Linked DNA regions of Oryzias latipes. The protein of the gene in region 3 interacts with the protein of the main gene of each other region in a biochemical or structural test. Links are inferred from orthologs where the notes say so. Each region holds a gene or a part of one and is shown on either strand. Other genes may lie near its edges. The genes, in order: arvcf, acvr2a, erbin and kcna4.

Region 1 (4,215 bases), on a different chromosome or scaffold from region 3:
ACCTGTAATAGATATAACCATGTTACACTTCTGTATTCATGGTGTGTTGAGTGGGTAGAGACAAAGGCATGTGTTATTGGCTTTACTGGGTGGGTGATGCAGACCAGGTGTCAACTCCACACATTGGAGTCTGGGTTATTTTGGCCTAGGGACTTGAAAATGGAAAGGACAGAGAGGTTGGAGGTGAATGTTAATCACTTCATGAGCAGCAGGAAGAGCTCTGCAGGTGCATGTCCAACAAAAGGACCATTCACTTCAGGTCCGGATTGGCTTCCTCCTAACCACTCACTACCATCACTTCAGTCAGCTAAAAAAATAAAAATAAAGATAGCCTGTGAAACACATTATAGGCAAACTTAATAAGTTAGTAAGTCACATATTTGTTTGACAATCTTTTTTCTTGAATTCCAACACATCCGAGTCAATCAATGAGAGTTAATGATCAAATTATCTAATGCCTGGTTTATACTTCATAGTAATCAGCTATCGCATCAATCGTATCGTGTCCCTACCACAATCATGCAGTTTAGTTCATATTAAGGTTGGTTTCACTTGCAACTGTCCATGATAACTGCGATGAACCTCTGAATGGCATTCATACTTTTTAAGCTCGACATGATTGTCTCCAAAGTTTCACTGGTATTTTTTAACATGTACAACATCTTGCTCATACACTTGCTAGTATGGGCCACTGGTGTGATATGCACACAATTGTACTATATAAAAATTCTAAATAAAATTCCAATCGTGGGTGATGCCATCAAATTGTGTCACATTTTGTACCGATTGGGGCAATTCTCTTCCGATCCCATCGGAAGTACCAAGCGATGGCATCATCATAGTTAGCGTAAACCTATGAGGTAGCATTTTGTTTTTATTTTACTCAACATATTGACATGACAGAAAGTCAATGTAGTCCAATTCTGATACAAGAAGTATCAAGTGATGGCATCGTGCGTACATGTATACATACACTAACTGAATACTTCTCCAGACTAAACCGGAACAATTTAAGTTAAGTAGCCAGTAATGGCCAACAAAGTCTGCATTATCAGAAATTAAAGCACGCTGTAGAAGCCTGAACTGTCCGACGCGAAACAGAGGATGGCTGCTTCGCCGAAGTGCATTAATTTCTGATAATCCACACTTCGAAGGCCATTAACCCGCTTATCCCATGGTCACTTACAAAAGAAATAAATAATCAATCGATTTTTAGTGCTTTATTCTTGTTATTGTTATTAGATCACTTTTTATTTAACAAAAAGCGGACTATTTGTCACGTGGTGCTGCGTGTTGTCATGTTACTGTGACAATGCTCCGCTTAGCCGGCTGAGCAATAATAATATATAATAAAATATAATTATATAAACATATAATAACCTATTCTGTTTTGTTTGTAAAGACATAGAAAATACTGCAAAGTAATTACTTTTAAATAAAAAAGTAAAATTTATATTTATTTATTACAGAACTTCATCTGTTTTATAACACTCTTGAAAATAGTCAAACTCCCAAAGCAGTAGAATTTTGTATTTCCCTGTTTGCTAAGTAATTTTTTCTCGTTTATATATATATATATATATATATATATATATATATATATATATATATATATATATATATATATATATATTCTCTATTTGCCATTTGCTAACCAAACGTTTCTTATTAACATGTTACTTGCTGTAATTTTTTTGTGTAAAAATGTTATGTTCAATCCTGTTTTGAATCCACCCTTGTTCTGTAAATATGTTTATTTTCAATAGTTTTTTTAAACATGGTAACATCTCAAACTACATAAATTTTAATGAAAACTCTTTGAATTATACTGAGACTTTTAATTGGTCTAGCGTGTGCGTTCCCAATTAGAACCAAATGTATGCTAATTCGTGCCACGTGCTCACAGGTAATTGCCTTAATTGCATCCTTCTGCATCCTGAGGCTAGCAGGGTGTGAAAGCATAAACAGAGATCAATCAGAGTCTGTTGAGAACTTCATTTAAGGCTTTGGCGCTGATGAGAACCACTCGCTCATTCTGGCACTAACTCGCGCGGGACATGAATACATGAAGGCCATAACCCAACATCACTACAGCCGCCCATTCCTCCAAATAAGGTATTTACGGGAGAGGCACCGGAAGACTCTCCATGGCAACCCACTCACAAACAGTCAGGGGGATAACAATGGAGTAGTAGCTGGGCTGAAGATTGACAGCTTGGTGCGGTGCGCTGCACTTGACTGCTTCCGTTCATGAGCATCTACAGATTTGTGGCGCAAAAATAGTAAACATTACATACGAATAGCTCTAGTTAACAAATAATAATAATACAATAATAACAAAAAATAAATATTAGGAGGCTTAAACTGAATATAATTGCACAACCTCGTCTTCTCCATTGAATCCTTAGGAAAGAAGCGTCGGAAACTCCCCCTGCAATTTCCCCCAGTTCACATTGCTCCCCATTATTATACCAACGGCGTCAAAGCCCACTAAGTTGAAACGGTCCCCCACTACAAAACAGCAATAATTACCTCAGTTAGTCCTCGTGCTGGTCTTCGCAGACGAGGAGACGCTGCACTGGGGGGGTTTACTCCGAATCTCAGCTGTTATTTTGGCCACGGCAGGAAGAGCTGTCTACTCTGCAGATATATTAGATCTCAAAGCAAAGTTGCCAGGCTTTACAAATGGTTTGGTCCTCTCAGTCCTCGCGGGGGTTAAATGAAGTCATTTCAGTGTATTAAAAGTTAAATAGAAGGAAACGTCGTTAGTAACGACGAATAGTAACTACGATGTGGCGGTGGATGAAAAGCAGAGCAAGCCTTTATCCCTCATCCACGGCAGAGCACGATTCTGTTGGTCACGCTGAGTGTCTCCGCCCATCCACACACACACTCATAGGCGGACTTTCTTTTTGAATATTTTCAACTGACACTTAAATGTGTTTATCTGCAACAAAAACCTAATTCTTATTGGCTGCGCCTTTTTTTTATTAACTGGCCTAGTGACTTTAAAATGTTTAAGTTAAAATGTTAATATGCAAATAATTAACGCATACGTTTGTAAATTAGTTGCACTTTTCTAAATATATTTTTTATTTAGCTTGTTTCATTTAAGTAGTCTTAAAATACCTCAGACTGCCTATTTACTGTTAAAATAACTGGTAGTGCGGTTCTCTCATCTTTATGTAAAAAAAACTCAGGATGCCAAGTAGCATTTTCAAAATAAAAGCTTTGTTGCAGCAAATATGATTGCCATTTTGTTTTGGCTTGCAAATAACCTTATACAGCAACCGAAATATTACATATTGAGTGATTTTGCAAAATTCTGTATATCATGTCTAACATTTGTAGTCATTCCAACATTTTCTGATTACTCTTTTTGTTACGCTTGCTTTTGTTTTGAAGAAAACTAACTAACCGGAATTGTGGCTGTCAAAGTGGCAAACTTTGTGAGTAAGGCGACCAATCGAATAGCATCTTTATAGATTCGTTCGTTCTGTACATTTAAAGTGCCTAACCGGGCGGGGTTAAAGGAACCCCTCTAACCCAGGCCATTGGTGGAGTCTGTCGGTGTGAGTAAAACCTCAAATCGAAGTTATACTGTAGAAGGACTTCCTTTGAGTTGACAACAAGCACGATAAAGGGGCAGTGAGTTTAAGTCAGTCATAATTCAGCACTGTATTTAGTAAAGGGCAGAATTAACAATTTGATCAAGCCGCCATTTTTTGTGTGTATTGTGTCGCCTTTAACCCAGTTTGCCAGATATTTTTGATCCGTTGGGTTTGTTTCCTCGTCACTTGTAAGTATGCTAATTTGTTAGCAGTTTAGTAAAACTAAATTTACATTAGTGCTGTGTTACTGAACCTGTCTTTGTTTCATTCGAAATAAGGTGTCTATAAACGAGTTCAGGCGTCTGGTAAATACTAGTCTACCGAATGTCGTGCTTGGTGACTCTCTTTCTTTGCTGTGTGGGTCATTGCTTTTGTAATTGTGTTATTTATATACTCTGACAAAATGTATTTTATTTTTAGATTTTGAGCTTAATTGTAATTTAGGATATATAGTGATTTGTGCAGTCCTGATGTTTCTATATCACAATTACGTAAAACTCAAATATCTTTAATTACTTCTTTTATTTCAGGTATGACTTACACCTGAAGACCAATGTGGAAGAAGTGATAATCAGATCGTGCCACAAAATGTGTATAATCTTCT
Region 2 (4,260 bases), on a different chromosome or scaffold from region 3:
AAGATTTCCGCTTCATATTCTGCGACACCCAAACTTCCCACCTCAACATAGACAAAAGCGTCATCAGCATAGAAGCAAGCCTGACCGCAAAAAAAGAGTGAAAAGGGAAATAAACTAGGAAAAAAACAAATAAATACTTGAGCTTTCAGATCTCTTAAGATGATAGTCATCGTCTTATTCCTCAAAAAAAAAAACAATTTTCTGTTATTGTTGAATATAAAAAATGATATTTACCATTAACTGGATGATTTCATGCAAACTATCAAAAAAATTGGGAGATATTTAAGTCTCAAGGTCTCCACTTGTGTGCGATCCCAAAGTTCCAACCTCGAAGTAGACATCAGCATTGTTAGCATAGAAGTCAACAAACAGGAAACGAATAGATAAATATCCATTTTTCTTAAAGTTACTATTATAAGCATTCATTGAGTGTGGTTAATATGTGTTAACAGGGAGGAGCAGGAAGGGTATTTATTTGCAATATTGTGTTTTTTTTATGTTAAAGCGCTTCGAGTTGCTCAAGGTATGAGAAGTGCTTTTTTAAAAAAAAAAAAAGTTTCATTTGTTTTGATTTGAAAAGCAATCAAATGATAAAGCTGTCAGATCGCTAAAGTAGATAAAATTGTAAAATATTAAAGATTACGGGTCTCTCGTTAACGTAGCTTTTCCTTCGAAGTCCTTTTGTAGTTTTTTTTTTTATACAATTTTTTTATTCACCATGAACTGTATGATTTCACACAAAAAAAGAGCATTTCTGTATCTGTAAACTGCCAGCAGCAGCAAAGCAAGTGGCATCTTATGATTTGAAATCTCTGAATTTGTCCTTGTGTTTTCACAGCGCAGCCTCTCCGGGCGGATCGCCTCGGTCTAACCCATCCTTTTTAAAAGCCATTCAACTTGAATTTTACAAAGAATTATTATTCTAACTCAAGTGGAAACCATTCATTTCCCCACTTCAGACGGTAACGAGCAAGCAGAATAATCATCCGCTGCGGTCTAAAAACGCAGACAGCACCTGCCTTGCACTCCATGCGACCTTGACTATTACCCAATTTCCGAAACCTTCTTTCCTTCCCAACCAAAGATCCTCCGGGACTTGCTGGAGTATTTTCCTTTCTTGCAGATTTGCTCAGTATTTTTTTTGCCTTGTTCAAACTAAATAAACAAGAGAAAGTTCTGCATTTTTTTCGGACAGCACACGCTGCAACAGAAACCTGCGGCACCTCAGAAAGCAAAAACAAACTTTCCTCATGTTTGATGGGACTGCTTTGATCCAATAATCCCCTTCCTGCTTGCACACAACACCAGGAATTCTCGCCACCAGGCTTGATCTGTTTCGAAACCCTCGATTGGGCAACCGGTAGAGATAACAGGAGCTGATCTGCTGAAAGGCCCCGGTCACAAAGCATGGCACCTTTCCCGTCAGGCAAGGAAGTAACACCACCAAAGTCCACGGTTTACAAGGCTTCACCGGTGTTTGTGCATCGTTGACCCATAGAAGAACGTTCTCTTGCCTTTCCATACCGTCGAGTATTTTTTCTAGCTACGAAACCAGAGCATGAACCAGTAGAGGCAAATCTCCCCGTCACGCAAGAAGTGGCATCCAGGTCCACCCACGTCCATGTTTTATCTTGTTCAACAAAAACACACTAAGTGACAAGGGTTTGTGAGCGTGCACAACATGTCAAGAAGCGTCGGGTGAATCTGGTCCCTTGAGGGCCAAAGGCTCCAGAGAACCGGACTACGACCTACTACTACTACGTTTTGTTACCCACCCACCCCAGAGGGTGCAGTTGCATTCTTACAAATAAAATAAAATAAAATAACATCAGGGTTGCTGTGCGTTGCAATCTCCACCCGCACCACCACCACCTTCTACACACCCACCTGAAGAACAGGAGATGAGGAAAACGGCTATGGCCAGCTTTGTGGCGTCTCCCATTTTCCATCCGAGTTCGATCCGCTCAATGCAAAGAATTGTTTAAAAATATATATAAACTAATTTAAAAAAAAAAAGTCAAAATATTGTCAGTTAAAAGTCCTCTAAACAACCCAGTGTGTCCGAGTCGACCATTTTAATTCACTAAAGAGTCTAAATCCGAACGATCCCAGGTAAGTCCACACACTGAGGAAGAGGAGGAGGAGGATGAAGAAGAGGGGATCGATGGTGGTATTTCCAGGTTTACAGGCAGGCGAGGGGGGTCGGCTCCGCGGCGGTGTGGAGTCGCCAGATCTCCGGCTTGACGGACAGATCGCCGGTGCACGGGGCTTCCGAGGAGCGGTGCAGGGAGCCGAGCCACAGCCGGGCAGGGCTAACATCCATCGGACTGGAAATTAATCGCACTCCGCCGTCCAATCAAACTTCTCCTAGCGGAGCTCCGGCCGCATAGCTAAAACACATCAAAACGCTACGGAAATGCTCATTCCCGTGGATTTTATACTCCCAAAAATGGACGTTTTACTCCGACTAGGAGCTTCGGCTTCGCCCGACAGTCCGGCGGGGCTGTCCTGCCACCAGCACCGCGGTTCCGGCCGCTCCAGCGGGAGGGGGATAAGGCTATTCCGAAGAGCTCCGAATAAAAGCGGCGTCCCGCTTCAAAGTGGCTCCAACAAGCGAATCCCTCCGCGGTCCAAATAGGTCTCGGTGCACGCGGGGAACCCAGGTTCGGTTCGGTAGCAAGAAAAGCTAAAAAAAAAAACGACAACAAAAAAACAAAAACAAAAAGGCTGCAGTTAATCCGCGCTGTTCAGGACGAGCTGAATTTTCCAAGACCGTCTCCTCTGCTCGGGACCACTTCAAAATGGCGTCACCCTGCCGTGTCAGGCGTGCGCAGCAGAAACGAGCAGCTTCCGGGGGGAAGTTTCAAAATAAATGCAACGGGGGGGAAAATTAAACAAATTACTTAAAAATGTATATTAAAAAATACATGTTACTTCTAATTAATAATTTAATCAATTTCTTTACAGATATTCCTGAGAAATTCATAAATAAAGAGTTGCAGAATTTACTAAAGTTCTTTACAAAACAAATTGGAATAATATTTTTCGTAAATTGTAAACTTTTCATATCAAAGTGTTTTCTAACCTCTTGAACTCAACTGTTTACAGTACTTCAAATTAATATACTTGTTTATAAATGTTCTATCTTAACCCATAATATGTAATTACACTCTACCAACATTTTAAATTAATCAGTTGTCTCTCTTTCTTATTTATCAACACCATTTTTTCATTATGTACATTTAATTGAATTAATTTGTCAACATTTCCCACCTTTACTTTTTGTTAGCTCAGCTGGTTTACTTTGCCCGTTTCAAAAGTATTTCCAAATTGCTATATTTAAAATTTAAGTTTGTAAAAACCCTTAATCTTGTAATATTCCGTGTTCTCCACAGTTTGATTTCATTTGCTTAAAGTTGTTTTTTTTTGTTTTTATTTTGAAGGCAGAATCTGTCGGCTTCCGGTTGCCACCGTCTAACTACGGCTGGCTGTCAGCAGCTGGCCTGAGCGGCTTTAGGAGCTTAGGGATTGTTGTTATTCCTGGAGGGCGCCTGGTTTATACTCCTGCCCGTACCGCTGGATGAGGTGGGGTGGAGCTAACGTGTGAATGTCACCTTTTCTAGCGGAAAAAAAAGCAAAATCAAATATTTGAATTTGTAGTGCTAAACTTTATTAATTTCAAATAAATTTTTTTGTGTTTTTACGATGCTTTAAACAATTTAAAATTTTATTTTCATTTTTAAAGTTTAAGCCATTAAACAGGGAAATTTTTTCCATCTTTCGCATAGTGCTTTTTAGGCCACGCCCCTCATATCCGGGAGATTGTCATGAAGTACAGATATAGGTTTGCCCTCTTACCAAATCTGCGTGACATTAATCCCTGCAACAGCCCACAGCAGATCTCCAACTGTAAGCGCTGCTAAACGATTAGGAGGTCAAAGGTCTCGGGGGATTTTCCTGCCAGACTGGAAGCTGAGTCACCTGTTCCATTGGGGAGAGTTGGTTTTCGTCTCCTCTGGAGCACCGGTGGGCCCGGGGCTGCGGGCGCCCCCAATACTTCTGCGGAGACGCCGCCATGGGACAAGAGGAGAGGAGCCTCAAAAACGAAGGGGGAGGGGGAGGAGCATCAATAAAATATGCGTTTCTGATTATTCATGTGGTCACTGCTTGGTAATCAGATTACAGTTCACCTGTCACAGGAAGCTGCCGCTCAACAAAAGCTGCACGATCACCTTCAGGTGCGGTCAAGGTCGCGGGTAA
Region 3 (3,564 bases):
GCAGCATCTTCCATGAATTTATGGAAACTCTAAAGCCAAATGGGGCGGAGCCTAGCATCGTTAAAGTGTCCCAAATGAGCAATGTGACCAATTGGTATGATTATAATGCACTAATAAAGTGAGAGATTTTTTTGTGTCTTATAATTGTTACTACATAATGTCAGAGGTTATAACATTATTTGTTAATTAGCAAATTAGATTCTACTGCAGTTAGAGGAAAGGAAATGTTGAATATTTGACGACAAAAAAACAAACGGAATTACGATGAAAACCTTTAATATACAAGTCTGGTTAAAGCAACAAATGTCTAATATGTTAGATATTCCTGTCACTTTGATTTATTTGGGGAAAAATCAGCAACTCTAACTAAAAGATTGTGGAAAAATAAAGTAAACCAAATTAGTCTTCATTATAAGAACCTTTGAAGCAGCTTAAACATCAGTTTTCTTTTTAAATATATTCATGCAAATAACACCCATATTTGGTTTGCTAATTCTATGTAAACTAAAAAAGGAAGTTTCTAAATTGAGGATTCTCAAGGAACATTTCTGTTTTTCAAACTTAAACAGTTGGAGCAGCTTTCATGCAACCTAAAAACAACAACAATAAAAATTGGTAAAAGTCCCTTTTCTACTTTTAAACTCTAAACAACTTTTGAACAAATGTTTAAAGATTCCCTCCGAGGAAAACTGTAGTTCTTAACTTGTTTTTGTTTTTCTGATGACGGAGAACATAAATAAAAATATGTAAAAAATGCAGCCAAAAATTGCATTTCCAGGTATTCCTTTATTCAAATCGTTGTGAATCATCAGCAGACTATAAAAAACACAATAGTCTATTTGTGACGTAGAAAATAAGCTTTCTGCTTCCAGCTCTCAGCAACGGCGAGGGGAAGGGGGGAGGGGTTGCTCCACACTGACGGTCCTGCCCACAAATCTGAGGCAAATTTCTAATGAACTACTGCCGCTCTGCAGAAACTACGTCCTAAAAAACCGCCACAGGCTTTTTGATTTCAGCTAAAACGGAATCATCAGAGTTTAAGATCACTGGGAAGGCTTTAAAAACTGATCAAAGGGGAATAGAAGTGGGGAATTAATGTTCGAGTACAAAAAGAACAAGCTACAAATATGTAACAGCTGTGGATTTATGTTGAGGGAAATCGGTAAATCTGACGTATTTACTAAAGGACACTGCATAAAATAACGTTGAAAAAGAAAATTAACCAAATGACCGATGCATTTTAAGAACAAGCCCTTTAAAGCAACTTAACTTGGAATTTACTATTCATTTTTTTTAATTTAGTGCAAAAAATACCCATAGTCAGTCTATTAGAGTAGATTAATTAGGTTTTGGAAAACAGATATATTGTCTGAGCATCCTCACACTTTTTAGTTGCAGCAACTCTTGAAAGTGTTTGGTCAATTTTTAAAACAAAAAAGTGAAAAAAGGTGTTTTTTTTCCTTTTACTTTTACACCAAAAAAAGAAGGAAATGTTTTCCATCGAAGGCAATAAAGTTTAATAGTTTCAAAATTTTCATGGAGAACATTTCAAAATAAAAGCACCATCTCTTGCTGTAAACCTTGTTTTAGTTAATATTTAAGTAAAGGTTAAAAACAGAAATGATTTGCAGTGCTAAAAACATTTATTTTGACTTAGGAGATTTGATTTGAAAGGTCAAATGAAGAGAAGTGAAAGATGGCTTCTGTTGATCTGATGGGGGAACGGGACAAAAGGGAAACATGCGTTTCCTTGAAGGAAGTGAAACAAAGAGGAAGAGGAGGTTCCTGGGTTGTTTGGAGCTCCAGAAGGAACCGCAGAGGCTCTCGGTACTCACACAGAAGCTCAGGTAGGGCTGTCCATCCCTGCCACTAAACACCAGGGAGCCTTGGCTGGCATGCATGTCCCTATAGTTTCCGTCCTGAGACCAGCTCAGTGGGAAGTTATTGAAATGATAGGAGCGAGACAGAGCATTCTGACCACACGCAACAACCGGCAGCAGGAGAGGTGACCATGCAATCCAACCAAACGAGTCACACAAACAGAAAACACACAAACATGCCGTTAGTTGTGGTTAGTCTTGTTTTTTTTTTTTTGCACAGAAACTTTGGAGCTGAAACTGTTTTAACTGTTAGTCTGGAGCTGAACTCTAAAAACTCATCTTTCAACTGTTTCCGTTAGGTACAGACTGAAGTGATTTGCTCACAGAAAGTTTGATCCCGCTTTACCTTTTCGATCTTCTTGGCCTCGATGTGCCGCATCACCTGGTCTCTCCAGTCTGCGGGGACTCTTCCCGGGCCCGGCCCGTCCAGCAGCGAGTGCTCGGACTTGACCCTGGCGTTGGGCCGCTTGCTGGGGCTGATTTGCTGGTAGTTGAAATCGCTCACAGACATGGTCCGCTCTGAGAGCTCGTGTGGGAGTGGCCTGGCGCTGACGGGCCTGGACGCTCCATGACCGTCGATGCTGTAGGTGCGGGCTGAGAAGGGCCTCTGTGCCGCCATGGCCAGGGGGCCTCTGGGGGGCGCGTGAATGTCCCTGTACGTCATGTACTCCCCCTCGGCCGGCTGCATGCGCCTCATCTCGCCGATGGAGGCGGCGGAGGCGCCGCTGCTTTGCCTCTGCAGAGTGCTGCTCCTCACCTGGCCGCCAGCAGGATAAAGTCTTTCCTTGGTCCAGTCGCCTTTGGGGGCCATTGGGGGCCCCTTCTGCTGCTGCAGCTGCAGGGGGTACTGGGGCGCCTGGTTTCGGTTTGAGAAGTTGGTGTTGGCGAGCGAGTGTGGTGGATGGGAGAAGTAGCCCTGTTGCTCCGGAGGAGCCGGTGACCTCTGAGCCCACATGTTCTCCTTTGGCATGGCACTGCTTGTGTACTGGATGTTGTACTGAGGGGGCGGAGCTCCGACGCTGGAGGAAGCGGGATACCTGCCGCTGGTGGCAGGAGGCATGGAGGAGGACAGCAGGTCTGAGGAGGACGTGGAGGAGCTGTTGTAGACGTGGAGAGGCTGGTCGTTGAGTAGCTGGCTGGCTGATTTGCTCCTCACGATGCTCTGGGCCTGAGCCCCCGCTCCTGGGCCCACCCCCACCATTCTGCCCATCACAGCTCCATCTTCATCTCCATCCAAGGAGTACAGCTTCATGCCTCCTGCTTCTATGTTGCTGATGCTGTGCGACTTCATCACCTGCGGCAGGTAGGACCTTTTCTCTGGAGACAGCTCCTCCGTGCTGCGGGACAGAGACAGCTCGCTGCCCGCGGCCGAGGTGGCGGCATGTACTGAGGAGGTCTCCGCCCTCTGCCCCCCCACGCCCTCACTTCCGTTCTGATTCCCATTCTGGATGTGATCCGCGTACTGCTGGCCGTTCAGGTCCCCCTGGGGTATCGGGCCGTTCTTGGCCTTGTCCGGCCCTTCCAGATGGTACGCGTCGTAGCTCGGCAGCTTGGTCACGTTCATGTTGATCTGGTCCCACTTGCTGTACGCCAGCCTGTTCTCCATGCACAGATCGTAGTCCGGCAGCGGCGGCTGGGTCCTCAGGAGGGAGGGGAGGGACGTCTCCGAGCCGTTGCCATTGTG
Region 4 (4,173 bases), on a different chromosome or scaffold from region 3:
CCGCCGAGAGTCCCCCGGTTGCGTCTCCACCGTCCGACGCCGCGCTGCTTTTTCCGCTCTCTGAGAACTCTCTGCTGCTGCTGCTCGGGATCCTGCTGGTGCCAGGAGGAGGAGGAGGGGCGCGAGGCGGCGCCGCTGCTGATGTTGGCGCTCGTTGAGGAGGAGGCGGCGCGAGACTGATGCTGGCGGTTGTTAAGGAGATGAGCGCTCGAGGAGGTGGTGGTGGAGATGGACCCCCCTCCATGGCCGCCTCCTCCTCCTCCCTCCGCAGCAGGGCCCCCGTCGGTCGCCGCCGCAGCAGCCGCCGCTCTGGACTGAGCAGCCTGACGCTCCCTCTCGCGCTCCCTCTCACGCGCCCGTGCTTGGGCATATCCGTACGGCAGGTGACTGTTGCACCCGCCATCCGCGCCCACCATAGCAAACTCCATTTTAAGTCTGTCTGAGCGCTATATAAAACGCCTCAAGGTGATGTGGACGCACAGCAGAGGAGAAAAGTTGGAGCCCGGCGCGCGCAGGGAGGGTGAATAAGGCATGAACCGTTCTGATCAATCAGATGGTCAGGTCAAGAAACATCTGTCTGCTTCAGGTTCAGTGAAGCTACTCACATAATGGGGGTTATGAAGCCCCATCTTCTCATGTTGGTACAAACACTCTAGGATTGCATGACATCATTAGCATCACAAAAAAAAAAATCCAGAGGCCGGTGGAATAGCCTGTTACGCAGACGCTCTGACAAAAGTTGCAGCCCCCCCTCCTCTATATGCACAGCATTATAAATCACCGAGTCAACAAGCTACACCAAAGCAGTCTGTCCGCGGCTTCTCCGGAGCCCATCAGGTGGTTATTTTCCCAGAGATCGGCGCCTAAATGCGTCCTTGGCTCTGCCGTGGTCACCCGATGATGCCATTCTCATGTGCTGGGATCCAAAAATAAGAGGAAAAGCAAAAGAAAAAATGGTACAAAAAATATTGTCTGCCGTATTGTAGACTCCCGGTTAAGCAGAATTACTTTTATTCCTCATGTTTACAGCAGATCCTGCAAGAATAAGGAAGAGGGAGGTGTAAATATTATAGCAAGAAAACTACATACATCATGCAGATTATAAAACTTCATTAATAATATCATTAGACTGCTAATATCGAATAGAAAAACGTCAAAACGAACATTACGCACAGGGTTTCCACATACAAGTGTCCTTTCATCCATACTTACATTTGAAAAGGTGCCAAATCAAACCGCCTCAACACCCAAAACAAATCCGCTGGAGGAGGAGGAGAAGAAATAGGAGGCGAGGATGCACATGTTTCCTCAAATTCCTGTTAGAATTTCTGGACGTTAAAATACCCAAATCCTTCGTCGTGTCCAACCAGCGACCAAAATCCACATCCAGTATATACATCCGTGCTCTGACGCACTCTGGAGATGACACTTTTTTTTTGGCTGCGTCTCGACGTCTTGTCTCAATTCAACAGGATCTATTGGCACTTCGGCCCCCGTTCCTGCAGCATCGCTCACTGTATAGAGGCAACATTCGGCTTTTAGGGGGGGAAATAGGAGGGAGGAGTAGAATAAGGTGTGCGATTAGGGAGTTGGCATTACTGACTGCTCCGCGCAATCCCGGTCAAAAAGAACCAAGGGTGGGGGAAAGTTTAGCAAGGCATTGATGAGGGGGTAAATGTCCCCACGGCTAAGTGTGAGCATCACGCCTCTGTCTGTCTGCCTCTGTATCCCTACCTATGCTCCTGTATCCCTCCCATTGTATGAGTGATGATGGAGAATCTCGGTGAGAAAGTGGTTCCTGCGTCGCAGCGCGCGCAGGCGGTGCTCGGTCCTCCCCCAGTGGATGCAGCGCGTCACTGCGCGCCGTGCTGCAGTCTCAATGCTGAGGCCCCTCTCCCGCTTTACCATCGCTTCTCTCCCCGAAAATAACTATGGCAGCGCTGTCTTTTCATTCACAAAACCACGTGATTAGACCAGAGCGCATGCTTCCTCACGAAATTAGAATTGTACCTTTACTGTTTACCATGTTGGCTCAGAGGAAGCGGCGGGAGGAATCTATTCTTTTTGATGCAGAATTGAAATGAAATGACGGGAACTTTAAAGTAGATGCAAATATCAGGTTTGATATTTTTAAAGCCCGCCAATATCAAGTTTTCCTTCTGAAATTTACACCTTCATTAATCCTTAAGTGTATGTTTATTAGTTTCCTTCATGAGGAAACATCAAAAACCATTAAGGCTCCCTTTGTCTGCTTTCCTCTGAGGTTCAATTAGGGGAAAAAAGAACACCATCTGGTATGGGAGTGAAATTAATTATCATATTATGAGATTGAACATATTGGAGAGTAAATCATGAAATAGACGCAGACAGAGTCAACAGGTAAAACCAATTATGTGAAACAGGAAAATTACTGGCCAAGCATCGTCATTTCTGAAGGTTTGGATTAAGCGATGAATGGACGGAGAGTCTAGTGGAGATTTTATGGACCACCATGGTTCTGGATCCAGAATGACATCTGAGGTTCTCCTACAGTTGGGAGAATGTCTTCTCCAAATAGGCAGCATTACCTGTTTTGTAGAGCTGCAAACATGCAGTTCAGAGGTTAAATGCAGTTGGGCGCATTTCAAAGATTTTTGAAAGAGAAAACAGTAGAAACCAGGGCGACTTTGTGCCACTCCTGATGTTTTTTCAGACTGTGTGATGTACCAAGAGCATTTTAAAGCTTTCCACCGCAAGCATCTGGCCCTCATTGTATGTCTCGCTGAATCTTTGGAAGAAATATGAGTCCATTGCCTTTATGGTGGCCCTGAAGTGGAAATTACACCAACAAATCATTCAATGCAAAAATAAATTAAAGATCCCAACCACAATTTAAAAAGGAAAACAAATAAGAAAAAAAACATTACATTTTAGAAATCCAAAAGAATTTCCACAAACCAAACAAAATAAGAAAAAAAAAGGAAACAAAATAAAAGTGAAATATTTTGGAAAACAAAAGTAATTTCCAAAAATCAAAATTAAATGTTTAAAAAAAAAAACAGAATATGAACCTGGAAAAGGTAGGGACTATGGGACATTGCTGATTGGATGATGACATTCGTTCATCGTTTCGACCAAAAGTTATTTGGCATGAAGCGATACTGGATCTGTTCCGTACTAATCATACAACTTTGATTAGAATGAGGACATTGAAGACGTATTTGAAAAACATAATCACTATCTGGGAATGAAAAAAGTCCTTTTTTGACAGCAATGTAAGTGAAAGGTGCAAGTGTGCAAAGCTGGGCCAAGGTATAATGAAAACTTCATATATGTAAGCAATGCAGTAATCACAGTATTGTGTTTTAACTCTCACATGTGTGTTTTGGAACTCCTCAACTATTTTTCTTACAAAATAAGCCATTAAAAACCCACATTTCACTTTTTCCTAAGCAAGCCTCAATTCAAATTTTGTCACTTTACCTTCTGAAGATTGAACAAAAATAATTTTTGAGTTCTAAATTATGCACTAAGCTTGTTTCTTTTTCATGTCTTAACAGTTTTATGTTATTTTTTCACTCAGAAAATTTAAAACTCTTCAAAATTTCCGTTTCCAGCTCACCAAAGCTACAAACATCCCTGACATTCATTATGCGTTTAGCCTATGGTATCACACTGGGCAAGCAGGGAGGGGCTTCTTCCTCTTTTTTTTTTTTTTTTTTTTTTTTACTGTTTGCTAGCTACTTTTGCATGTTCGCCACCTACAGTTGGAAGAGGCTTGGCGCAAAATGTCAAAGCGGAGCAAATCTTGCGATTTGGGTACTAAACGGTTCGGTTCTTGTTAGCGTCCTTGCATTGGAAGTAGATCCCCCTCTTGTCCGGAGAGTAGTATTGGTTTGTCTTTATTTGAAAAAATAACACATTCGTGGCCAGGCTTGTCGCCATGTCTGGGTTCACCAGATAAACCAACTGGCACCAATGGCCATGAGTTTTGCATGTAAAGCTGGAAAATGGTTGGACAACCTTGTGTAGCAATGCATGAACGCTAGGAATTGGAATATGGATGCCCAAAACGCGCATTTACGCACGTGTACTTTTCCTTGGATGTGGCCGCTTTAATACATGTTGCCGAAAGTGATGTGAACATAGATTCAGAGATACTGCTAAAAATCGTATTCTCGACCAAATATGTCT

The links.
Region 1: the proteins of erbin (region 3) and arvcf interact in a test that uses a peptide from one of them, tested with the Homo sapiens proteins (3 studies listed by BioGRID and IntAct, with this or other methods). The link is inferred for Oryzias latipes from reciprocal best matches to the Homo sapiens genes ERBIN and ARVCF.
Region 2: the proteins of erbin (region 3) and acvr2a interact in a test that uses a peptide from one of them, tested with the Homo sapiens proteins (2 studies listed by BioGRID and IntAct). The link is inferred for Oryzias latipes from reciprocal best matches to the Homo sapiens genes ERBIN and ACVR2A.
Region 4: the proteins of erbin (region 3) and kcna4 interact in a test that uses a peptide from one of them, tested with the Homo sapiens proteins (3 studies listed by BioGRID and IntAct, with this or other methods). The link is inferred for Oryzias latipes from reciprocal best matches to the Homo sapiens genes ERBIN and KCNA4.

What each region holds. Positions count from the first base shown.
Region 1 is NC_019867.2:23,347,110-23,351,324, reverse strand, and holds the start of arvcf (armadillo repeat protein deleted in velo-cardio-facial syndrome), read right to left. Parts: upstream 2,838-4,215; 5' UTR 2,533-2,837; intron 1-2,532. Other genes in the region: tango2 (transport and Golgi organization protein 2 homolog), read left to right, coding at 4,200-4,215. UniProt on the Homo sapiens protein: Contributes to the regulation of alternative splicing of pre-mRNAs.
Region 2 is NC_019860.2:3,422,136-3,426,395, reverse strand, and holds the start of acvr2a (activin receptor type-2A), read right to left. Parts: upstream 2,821-4,260; 5' UTR 1,943-2,820; coding exon 1,888-1,942; intron 1-1,887. UniProt on the Homo sapiens protein: On ligand binding, forms a receptor complex consisting of two type II and two type I transmembrane serine/threonine kinases.
Region 3 is NC_019870.2:4,436,217-4,439,780, forward strand, and holds part of erbin (erbin), read right to left. Parts: coding exon 2,227-3,564; intron 1,974-2,226; coding exon 1,836-1,973; intron 1-1,835. UniProt on the Homo sapiens protein: Acts as an adapter for the receptor ERBB2, in epithelia. By binding the unphosphorylated 'Tyr-1248' of receptor ERBB2, it may contribute to stabilize this unphosphorylated state.
Region 4 is NC_019861.2:9,901,281-9,905,453, reverse strand, and holds the start of kcna4 (potassium voltage-gated channel subfamily A member 4), read right to left. Parts: upstream 2,822-4,173; 5' UTR 1,213-2,821; intron 1,036-1,212; 5' UTR 429-1,035; coding exon 1-428. UniProt on the Homo sapiens protein: Voltage-gated potassium channel that mediates transmembrane potassium transport in excitable membranes. Forms tetrameric potassium-selective channels through which potassium ions pass in accordance with their electrochemical gradient.